Linked DNA regions of Canis lupus familiaris. The protein of the gene in region 2 purifies or fractionates together with the protein of the main gene of each other region. This does not show direct contact. Links are inferred from orthologs where the notes say so. Each region holds a gene or a part of one and is shown on either strand. Other genes may lie near its edges.

Region 1 (3,650 bases), on a different chromosome or scaffold from region 2:
ATCTAATTATTAAAGTAATTACTGCTTTTTAGCCTTAGCATAAAGAATAAAATTTGAAATGCCAGAATACTGTTTAAGTCATTTTGACTCACCTATTAAAATTAAAGGTGAGAGGTTTTTTTTTCAATTGACTGTATTGCTTTAAAAAATCAAAATTCAAAAATCACAGATAAAAACAGTCCCGATCTTATTCCATCACATGTAAATCCTAAGTCAGTCAACATGAATTTTGCACCTAAGATTTAAAATACTGAATATCCACTGTGCACACAGTACCTTACAAACATCTTAATCTCCCTAACAATGCTCTAAGGAAGGTATTATTTATCTCTATCTTACAACGGAGAAAACTACTGAGGCTAGAAGACTCATTTAGTAAGGCTTGCCCAAGGTCATTAAAGCTAATCAGTGGCAAAACTGAGATTCTAACCCAACTCTGTTTGACCCCCACATTTATGCACCATCTACAAATGAAGAGAAACATCTTAACTCAGATTTTAATTTAAACTACATCCATGAGCAGAGTAAAATTTAAAAAAATTAAAACATCCAAATGACTCCAGAACCTCTGTAGCATTTTCAGAATGGACAGGACTACCTTAAGCCAGGCTTTAAACTTCATTGACCAGCAATGAGTATTTTTTAAATTAAAATATCCTAATGCCTTAAGGATATGTTTTTAGTTTAAGAGGGAAAGAAAAAACCCAAACAAAATCTCAGAAACCAGTATGCAAATTAAATTAGGATCATAACTCCTCTCTTTAAAAATCCTTGACTGTTAAATTGATATACTTTGGAACAGTGAACATATTAGTCAATTACAATTCACATTTACTTCAGAAAGGTCTACTATTAAATCAGAAAGATTACAACACTCTTAAGAACCTGGGGATGGGAGAGGAGTGATAGGAAAAAAAGGTTAAAAATAAACACTATAACCCTCTGCTCTAGACAAAATAGAGCATATTTCTGATTTCCACACTAATGTTGAAAACACAAGCACTGAGAATCTAATTTTCTCAATACTGATATTTAGCCACAAGACACTTATCTGGTAAATACTACTTCAGTTCATTCATTTACTTTTGTATTTAATAAACATCTTAGCATCTATTACCTGCCAGTTAAGGATGTCGAAAAACTTAAGTCAGAAAAACAAATACAGTCAACAGAAAAAAAGTAATTCATTTCAATTATGTTTTTAAAAATTGTTGATTTTACATGCATCAATGCACTCATAATACTCTTAATCACATATCTCAAACATGAAATGAACAAATTTTCCTAAAAGCTGCAGGTCAGTACTTTAAAGCCCATTTTAGTGAAAAAAAAAATAGATGTAGTAATTGTTCCTATCTTTAGACTAGTGGTACACAGAGTTACTACTTTTGTGTATACAGTATTTTTCACTTCCAAACCCTATCTTTGGAAAGATATGCAGAGATCATAAATATTTTTCTCCAAAACTGCTTCCACAAGGAGTTTCAAGAATATAGTATCCAACATTATAAATCTAACTATAAATCATCTTTGAGCATGAAAAGATCACCAATGCTACCTGCATTTCTAGGGACTAGAGAATGTGGCCTACTGAAGCATAAAAATAAAAATCCCAGCAGTGCCAAAGCTCACTATGCACCTGAAACAAATAAACCTCCTTAGAATACAAATTTCTCACCTGTATAATCCAGATCAATCATACCGACTGGCAATGTTACACTGAGTAACAGATTAAACTGAGCCAGACATCAAATACTGCACAGAAACACGCCGGTGTATGCTTCAGCACAAGAATACTAACCACCCCCGGAAAATGAACCCTCCACCCAAAAAAGGACCTCCCTCCACCTCATTGATTATGCATAAAACATTAGGCCACCTCTATACTGTTTAATATATTAACATAAATAGAGCACGTGACCGCTCAAGTGTCAAATCCTTAGTCAGTGATTATGGATTTTGGCCTTGGTTACCTTTAAAGTTCTTGATCACTAACTTCTTAGCAGACCCAGGCTTGCTGTTAGCAAAGCTAGAAGTGGTGGTAGAAGATTTGGCTAGGCCGTTTGCGTGATGCACCGAAGCCACAGAAGAGATTAATATACTCTTATTTTTAAGTTGCTGCTGCTGAGATGTTGCAGCAGTTGGTGAAGATGAGGAGGAAGAGGAGGAGGATTCCTCAGCCATCTTCGCATCAAACCCTACAAACTCCAGGGTGTCTTCAAAACGCAGCTTCTTCTGTATCGGTACGTGGCTGGAAGTAGCCACTGAAACCCCCAGGCAGAAGGACGAGGTTGAAGGGGATGCCGAATCCCTGGGTTGTAAAGGAGGAGTGGATGAGGAGGAAGAGGTGGAATCAAAGTCTTCTCTCTCGTTACTACTGTTACTGCTGCTACTGCTGCTGCTGTTTAACTTTCTCTTCTTGGCAGAGGTGGGCGGAGTGGTGCTGGTATTACCATCAGTGGCAGATCTGACCTCCTGAGCAGCAGCAGCAGCTGAGGGATTGGGGGAAGAAAAACCTGTTGGAAACATGAAAATAGCGGGGTCAACAGGCAGAGGAGCATCAAAAACCTACGTTTATATGCCTGCGTGCGTGTAGGAGAGAAGGTGGCAATGCTAGAGGGGGGAAGGGAAGAAAGAGAGGAGAAACACAGAGGACGAGAAGGAAAGTGAAGGGGGGGCTACACCGGGGGAATGGGAGGGTTTGGGAAGGCGGATAGGCTGACACCAGGAGTGAGCAGAACGAGGGGGGAGAGCGAATGAGGAGGCAGACAGGTAAACGGCCGTGCCGTCCCCCTCCCCTGCTTTTCGGTCTCTCTCCCCCCTTTCTGCAGGAGCGACTCAGTGAGTCTGTGAGGCTGCAGCTCCTCCTCCTTTTCTCCCTCTCTCTGGGAGGGGAGATGCCGTGGTTGGGGGGAGGGGGAAGGGGGAGGGGGAGAGAACCAGGGCTTGTTATTGTCAATAGCACAAGAGGCTAAAGATGGCGCCACTTCCGGTCACGCGGCGGCGAGGGAGGGGCGGCGTCTGTCCCCGGGAGTGGGGGGTGGAGAGAAGCACTGCAGGCGCCCGGGGGGCGGGGGAGCTGGCTGGGAGGGAGGCGGCGGGAAAGCGGCGGCTAAGGCGCCCCAGACGGTCGTGCTCCTTCTCTCGCTCTCGCTGCCCCCCCTCCCGCTCCCTCTCCCTGGCAGCACTCTTCTTCCCTGGCCCGCCAGTAACTGCCACCCCCTCCTTAACGGTCCCGCGGGGAGCTTCGCGCTGCAGCGCCCTTACCGGAAGTGACTGGGCAGACACTTTTCATAGCGCCCAGGTCCCGAAGCCCCCAGGTCCGCAGGACTTGAGTGGGGGGGGATGGGGGAGGGAGAAAGGGGGGGAAGAGAAGTGGAAAGGGAGGAGGGGGCGGGCTTTTGAGACACCTCCCGAGTTGCTGATTGGAGCTTTCTGAACGCGAGGCGGGCGGGGTGGGGGGAAGGTGGCGGGAGAAGCAGCGGGAAGGAGCCTGAAGGGGAGGGAAGGTGGTGACGGTGAGGGGCGGGGTGAGCTAGCTGGGAAAAAGGAGGAGGAGGAAGAGAAGAAGGGAGGGAATAAAAAGTTAGGGAGCGGAGAATGGAAACTTTGAAAGAGATAAAGGAATAAGGAGGGGTTGCAAGGCAAGG
Region 2 (3,650 bases):
TGGCCTTTGGCTCAGGTCATGATCTCAGGGTCCAGGGATTGAGCCTCACATCTGGCTCCCTAGTCAGTGGGGGGAGTCTGCTTCTCTCTCTGCCCCACTCTCCCCTTTGTGTACCTCTTTCTCTCTTGTACTCAAATAACTAAATCTTAAAAAAAAGAAAGAAAACTAAGAACTTAGAAGATAGCTTTAACCTAAATAAATCCATTAAAAAAATCAATCAATCGGCTCCCTGAATGGAGCCTGCTTCTCCCTCTGCCTGTGTCTCTGCATCTCTCTCTGTGTCTCTCATGAATAAAAAAATAAAATTAAAAAAAAATCAATCAATCAATCCATTATTGCTATATCTGATTTTATACTTAGAGTCTGTGTGTGTGTGTGTGTGTGTGTGTGTGTATAACTCAGAAAACAAATCAATTAGGGGGTTGGATTAAGTAGTAGTCCCTATACAGAAAAACTTGATTGAGTGTATCTGTTCCAAGATTGTTAGCTACCTAACAAAATGAAAGAATGGATCAGAAAAAAGTGAATGGCAAAGAATGAAAAATTATAGTTTAGGAATTAGGAGTCATTATCAAAAGTCAAATTATAATGTAATTCAGTAGGAAAAGACATTCATTTAGAAAACTTTTTAATTAATTTTTTTTAAGTAGGCTCCACACTTAATATAGGGCTTGAACTCACAACCCTAAGATCAAGCATTGACTGCATCCTCTACTGACTGAGCCAGCTAGGCGCCCTATATCAAAACTATTTTTTTTAAGTTGGATTTTTTTAAGATTTTATTTATTTATTAATAAGCGACACAGAGAGAGAGAAGCAGAGACATAGGCAGAGAGAGAGGCAGTTCCCAACGTGGGACTCAATCCTGGGTCTCCAGGATCACACCCTAGGCTGAAGGCAGGCACTCAACCACTGAGCCACCCAGAAGTCCCTCAAAATTATTTTTAAACACAATTAAGAAAACATGTTTTAAACAGTGAGAACAGTTATGCTCCCCCAAATCAGCTGTGAATATCTGTTATTCAAGTTTCTATAAACTAAATCATGTTTTCATATTGATTTCCATGAAAAATTTGAGCTATGTTGGGGGGGAATGGGACACCAACATCTGAAATATACAGGCAACACTGACAAGAAAAAACTTTATGAAGTATTAATAATAATCTCTAAAGTTCATTCTTCATTTGGAAACAATTAGTACTCTAAAATCTGGAACTAGATCAACAAAAGAGGCAACTATGTCTTGAAGGTTCTTTGGCTTTTTAAATCTATCTCTAATTTTAATACCTATGTCTTTTAGTGTATTCCCTAAAATTCCTCTTGTTTAGTATCTCATGTTATAAACCCTGAGAGTTATAAAGGGCTGTAAGCATTAAAGTCTTATTTAAAGATCTCTTTAATTTTGTTTCAAAAATCAATGGTTTTCCTTCCAGTAGCATTTATCTCTAATATTTTCCAAAGACTTGGAATTTTGTCCCTAAGGTATTGATTTCAAATTCTCATTGGTATCCAATGTAAAGGGCAAAAACACCCAAATCTGTTCACCATTTATTATCATTCTCTACAGAGTACAGTTCCATATACTAAAGATGTTTCTAATGATTAACTACATGTATGTAACTATCATTAAGGTATAAAGGACTAGAATTATTTTTCAAAAATTTTTGTGGCAACTGAAAACTCTCCTGGGACAACGTAAGAAAATCCAGAATTAAGAAAGGGAAAGGAAAGGGAAAGGAAAGGGAAAGGAAAGGAAATCCAGAATTGAGAAATCTGAACTTTATTGGGCTTTGTTGCTACTTCTGCTATGTAACTGCTATCTAGTTTGGGAAAATGGCTATGCCTCTGCTTCCTTATTTATAAAATGTAGATATAAGGCCATCCCATAGGGTTCTTCTGAACATTAAATAATAGACATGACAATGCTCTACAGAACTTACAGTATATAAGCATTAAAATGTCCATGTGACACTTTCTCAGATGGTTTCAACTCCTAATTTTTTCAAAATCAGAGAATTAACCTAACTGATAAAAATGCAACTGCTCAATATAAGCAAGGGGTACCTCCTAACAATAAATAATAAACTCATACTCTGTGTGTGGTCTGACTGTGGAAACACTTGCTGAACTGGTACTGGGCTCTTCAGCAATTCCTCCACCATCCAAAAACATAGTAACTGCCATCTCCAGATTATTGTTGCAGGCTTCAAGCATATGTTTCCCTACGCTTTCGCTTGCACCTGAAATAGCAAAAAAGACAGGGAAAAAGTTAAAAAAAAAAAAAAAAAAGACATCTTATATTCAGTTCATATTAAAAAATAGAATTCCCAAGCAAATGAATAATATCTTTTTTCCTTTTAGGATGAATGGCTTCTTTTTAAAAACCTGTTTGCATACTTTTACAATGTTAGCTGATTAATAAATATACAAAGCTAGAAAAGAAACTGACAACATTAAAATAGTGCTCGTCCTTCATAATAAAACCAAACTAAATAAAGCATGTCTTTAAATGGACCAACCATATATCTGTTAATAAACTGAAAAAAAAAAGATTAAAGATTACATTCTAGAAAGTTAGAAATATTTTGTTAGAAAGAATGCATTTCAGTTAGCATTTGTTTCCATTAAAAAGAAAGCATTTTTTAATAATAAAGGGAGAAAAGTGAGATAGGACATTTTTGTCAAAAACATAACCAAGTCAAAATCTGGTAGGAAATGTCAGTCTTCAGGGGTGCCTTCAGGGGTGGCTCAGCTGGTTAAGCATCTGCCTTCAGCTCAGGTCATGATACCAAGTCCTGGGATGGAGCCCCACATCATGCTCACTGCTCAGCAGGGAGTCAGTCCCTCTCCCTCTGCCACTCCCCCCACTTGTGCATGTTCTAATAAATAAATAAAACCTTAAGAAAACATATCAGTCTTCAGGACACTTGGGTGGCTCAGTCAGTTAAGTGTCCAAACTCTTGATTTCAGCTCAGGTCATGATCTCAGGGTCATGGGATTGAGCCCTACACTGGGCTCAGTGCTGGGTGTGGAGCCTGTTTAAGATTATCTCTCTCCCTCTCCCCCCACCTAACCCCACTCTCTTGAGTTCTCCTTCTCTCTCTCAAAAAAAAAGGGGGGGTGGGGAGATGTCAATCTTCATCATTTAAAACTGACGCTACATATATTTATTCATTTGTAAAGCCAGTATTGTCTGTTAGATGCAATGTAGATTGGTAAAGCCCTTTACAAAACCAATTTTACGACATGTATCAAAAAGTACTCCTTTCGGGCGGCCCCAGTGGTGTAGCGGTTTAGCACCGCCTGCAGCCCAGGGTGTGATCCTGGAGACCCGAGATCAAGTTCCTAATTAGGCTCCTTGCATGGAGCCTGCTTCTCCCTCTGCCTGTGTCTCTGCCTCTCCCTCTCTCTCTCTCTCGAATAAATAAGTAAAATCTTAAAAAAAAAAAAAAAAAAAAAAAAGTACTCCTTTTTTTTGACCCAGTAATTTGCGCTTATGGTCAAATGGTCAAAAAACTTTTTTTTTTTTTTTTTTTGAGAGTGAGTGAGTGTAGTCTGTGTGTGTGTGCAGCAGCAGGGTAAGGGGCAGAGGGCGAGAATATTCAAGCAGACTTCATGCTGAACACAGAGCCCAATATGAGGCTCAATCT
Region 3 (3,650 bases), on a different chromosome or scaffold from region 2:
AGAACTTTCCAGTCATCACTAACAAAACTTCTCATTACCAGTGAAATAAACTCACCTCTTCAACTTTTTTGACCAGGGGACGTGAATTTCTGATGAAAGTTATCTTACCAAGTTTAAATTCATAGTTGGGAATTCCTCTGTGAAAGAGAGAAAGAAAGAAGAATGTTAGTTGCAGGATAAAGACATTAAAATTTGCTCCTGCCAATCAAGAGAAAGGCAAGCAAAGAGACAAGTGTGGTCCTGGTGACTCACTCTGGGGTTTACCGCTGTACCCACTCTGGCCTCGAGCCAGCCCTCTGGCGCTCCCCAGGAACCTTCCTGAAGTAACCAGAAGGCAACTGGAGCAGAGGCCTGTTGACCTAGTGCCTGGCCTGCAGTGAGAGGCCATCTGGAGGCTTGAGGGGCCCTCACCATCTCTGTCCTGTAGCCTCATAGACCCTGTAGGGGCCACCTTCTCACTAAACTCCTTACACTCTCTTAAGAGTCTGGGTAAAAACCACACTTGCAGTGTTCTCCCTCTGCTCTAACACACAGCAGACAGGTGACATATCTCATCCCTACCACGTCCATGACAGTCATCAGAGCAAGAAACCTCCTCTGACAGTCCCTAAGCCAAATGGTAAAAACACTTTTTTTTTTTTTTTTTTTTAATTTATGATAGTCACACACAGAGAGAGAAAGAGAACGGCAGAGACACAGGCAGAGGGAGAAGCAGGCTCCATGCACCGGGAGCCCGACGTGGGATTTGATCCCGTGTCTCCAGGATCGCGCCCTGGGCCAAAGACAGGCGCTAAGCCACTGCGCCACCCAGGGATCCCTAAATGGTAAAAACACATTAAGGCAGCTCCTGCCTCCTGTCTGAGGGAAGTCTACATAATGGGGTCTTGATCAATTATCAGAAGTCACAAAATAGAAAAAGAGATTACTAAACAGGAACCAGAAAGATGTGAAACAGGAGGGCAAGCTGATTAGGGAGCACCTGGGGGCAGGCGGAGGCTGAGGAGGAGGGACAGAGTGAGGCTAGATTGCAGTGGGAGAGGCCTGGCGGATGAGGCAGGGCACCAGTATCCTTCCCTCACCAACGTGCACCGGGAAATGCCTGCTCTGGTGGCCCAGGAGAGCAGGCAGGGTGCCATCCATTCCACACGCCAGCCTCCCTGGTCCAGACTTCGTCTCCAGAGCTCGAGTGAGGTGGTCCCACCCCAGGAATCTGGCAGAGAGCCTTCCTGGAGGAGGACAAAGCATCACAGGGGAAGCAGAGCCAGAGCAGACCTACCTTTTAATGTCTCCAGGCTTGATTGGGGAGGGGCTGGGCTCTACACCTTTCTTCTTCCCGTCCAATCTATTCCCGGAGCCGGAGAAGGCCTAGACGAGCGAGCAGGAGAGTGCGCAAGAGCTTAGCGAGCATACATGTGCCCTGTGCCCAGACACTGCAGCCAGGATGTGTGCTGGGAGGTGTAGTCCAGACCCCTTAAGGACTGAAACCTTCACTTCCTGACAGACAAGAACTTTCCACCCGGCCTCTCAGGGGACTGATGTGAGATGAAAGGAACCTCCTGGCCCAAGCACAGCCACCTTACAAGGACAGCCAGTAGTTAAAGGACAGATTCAAAGTTTTGGCTCCAGCCTCTGCAGGACCACCCAGCTCAGGGTCCAGGGGCAGGCTAAGGCCTCTGTTGCAACTGCCCCACAGCTCAGCTCCACTTTCTAGTCATGATTCCTCTGCTGCCTCCCAGCTCCCCGATGCCAGCGCACTAGCCATCTCTACCTGCTTCCCAGGGAGTCTGGCTGGCCGCGGTGCTGGGAGGTCATGTTCTCAGACAATAAAGCAAATGGGGTCACATCTAGTGAATTGAAGAGAAGCATATACATGTGTCCTACTTGGTGGGTTAGAAATTTTCAAAAGGAGAAGAAAAATCAGGGCCTGCCTTTAGGATTCCAGGACAAAGTGAATGTAAAAGGCTGTGTAACTGAGAGTGCCAGATATGTGCATGCACAGAAACCCAAAGGTCCAATCTCTGCAGAGGTCCCCAGATGGCACGGCAGGAGCATAGAAAGTAAAACGTGTGGCCTGGTACTCACACGGAAGCCCAGCTCTCCAGCATAGCCGCTGTGGTCAGCTTCACCCTCCTGATGGGAGCACAAAAACAGGTGATGAGCCTCTCATTGCTACTGCTATCCCTGCACCCCCAACAGCTGGGACACACTATTCCCCAGGAGCAGGACATGTGACCATGTCAGCACCAGCAGAAGCCAAACTCAAGTTGGCTGCTGGGACCCACCGAGGACGCCCTCCCAGAGGCCCCGTTACTGAAGGGGGCAAACAGTGCTGGGGCTGGGGAGGGTCGCTGGGCAGAACTTACAGCGGACTCCTCATGCTGGACTTGTCTCTCAGGCTCCTTATAGCCCAGTGGGGCATCGAAGTCCACCTTTGGTCCCGAGATGAAAAGAATAATTTTGAGATACGGTGACACTTAGGCTTCCTTAGCTTTTGTTTTTAATTGAGACAACGGCAGGGTCATATGTGGTTGTTAAAAGATGCAACAGAAAGCTGCCCCTATATACTCTGCCCAATTTTCCCAATGGTAACGTTTTATAAAATCACAGAGTATCACCACCAAGATAAGCAGCAGCTGCACCATCCGGCCCTCCTATTCAGATTTCCCAGTTAAGTTCTCCCAATTTTATCATGAGTATTGGTCATTGTCCACCCTCAGTCGAAGTACTAGGCTGTTCCAACCTCCCAGGGACCTCTCTGAGTTGTCCTGTTATAACCACACGTGCCTCTCTCCTGGCCTTCTCCTAACTCCTGGCAACCACCAACCCGTCTTCCATTTCTAAAGCCTCGCCGATTTCAAGGATGTAATACAAATGGAACCAGAGAGAATATAACCTTTTGGGACTGGCCTCTCTTGCTCAGAAGCATTCCCTGGAGACCCACCAGGCTGTTGTATGTACCAACCAGTAGTTTCTTCCTATACAGCTGAATAAGCTTCCTTAACTTTCCAGAATATCCATGCTGCTGGTGAGTGCAGCCACCTCTCTTGGCTGGAGATGTGTCACCAGGTCAACAACCTCCTCGCAGGCGTTCTGGCATCAACTTCCTTCTCTCTCACCCAAACAGTCCCCGGGGCTGCATGACACCCTCATGGGGCACTGGCCTGCAGGGTTCATCAACTGCCCATCTTCCCGTGACCCAAGTGCACTGTAAGCATCGAAGGTACTCACGTTCATGTCACACTCAATGATGGATACGGCCTTGTCAGGCTTGGTCTCCATCACCCGCAGTTCATAGATCTGTGGGAAAACAACAAAAATCAGTAGCATGGTTTTGTGGCAGCATGGGGGGGGGGGGGGGAGGTTGTCATCATTCATGTTACTGCAGCTCCCTACCTAGCTCCTGCAGACACACTGTTCACCGCCGTGACACCATCCCCCTGCTGCACATATTGCTGTGACAAGGGGGCTGCCTTTGTGGGAGGTAGGGGGGTGGGAGGCTGCTTTGATGCCTGTCCATCACTCAGCAGAGGCTGTTCCCTCTATGTGGTTAACATCACACAGGGTAGCTATGTATCACATTGCAAAAAAAACACAACCTTTATTCCAGGAAGTTCACTTCTAGGAATTTATTCCTTTTATTTTTTTAAAAA

What was found. Proteins that work in one complex are often made in the same cells at the same time.
Region 1: the proteins of UBXN7 (region 2) and CUL4B purify together in Homo sapiens (affinity purification with mass spectrometry; 3 studies listed by BioGRID and IntAct, with this or other methods). This does not show direct contact. The link is inferred for Canis lupus familiaris from reciprocal best matches to the Homo sapiens genes UBXN7 and CUL4B.
Region 3: the proteins of UBXN7 (region 2) and UFD1 purify together in Homo sapiens (affinity purification with mass spectrometry; 3 studies listed by BioGRID and IntAct, with this or other methods). This does not show direct contact. The link is inferred for Canis lupus familiaris from reciprocal best matches to the Homo sapiens genes UBXN7 and UFD1.

Annotation. Positions count from the first base shown.
Region 1 is NC_049260.1:93,256,890-93,260,539, forward strand, and holds part of CUL4B (cullin-4B), read right to left. Parts: intron 3,406-3,650; exon of another isoform or gene 3,296-3,405; coding exon of another isoform or gene 3,268-3,295; intron 2,517-3,267; coding exon 1,974-2,516; intron 1,805-1,973; exon of another isoform or gene 1,701-1,804; coding exon of another isoform or gene 1,679-1,700; intron 1-1,678.
Region 2 is NC_049254.1:30,189,285-30,192,934, forward strand, and holds part of UBXN7 (UBX domain-containing protein 7), read right to left. Parts: intron 2,241-3,650; coding exon 2,093-2,240; intron 1-2,092. UniProt on the Homo sapiens protein: Ubiquitin-binding adapter that links a subset of NEDD8-associated cullin ring ligases (CRLs) to the segregase VCP/p97, to regulate turnover of their ubiquitination substrates.
Region 3 is NC_049247.1:29,917,188-29,920,837, reverse strand, and holds part of UFD1 (ubiquitin recognition factor in ER-associated degradation protein 1), read right to left. Parts: intron 3,298-3,650; coding exon 3,229-3,297; intron 2,430-3,228; coding exon 2,364-2,429; intron 2,131-2,363; coding exon 2,083-2,130; intron 1,366-2,082; coding exon 1,277-1,365; intron 138-1,276; coding exon 56-137; intron 1-55. UniProt on the Homo sapiens protein: Essential component of the ubiquitin-dependent proteolytic pathway which degrades ubiquitin fusion proteins.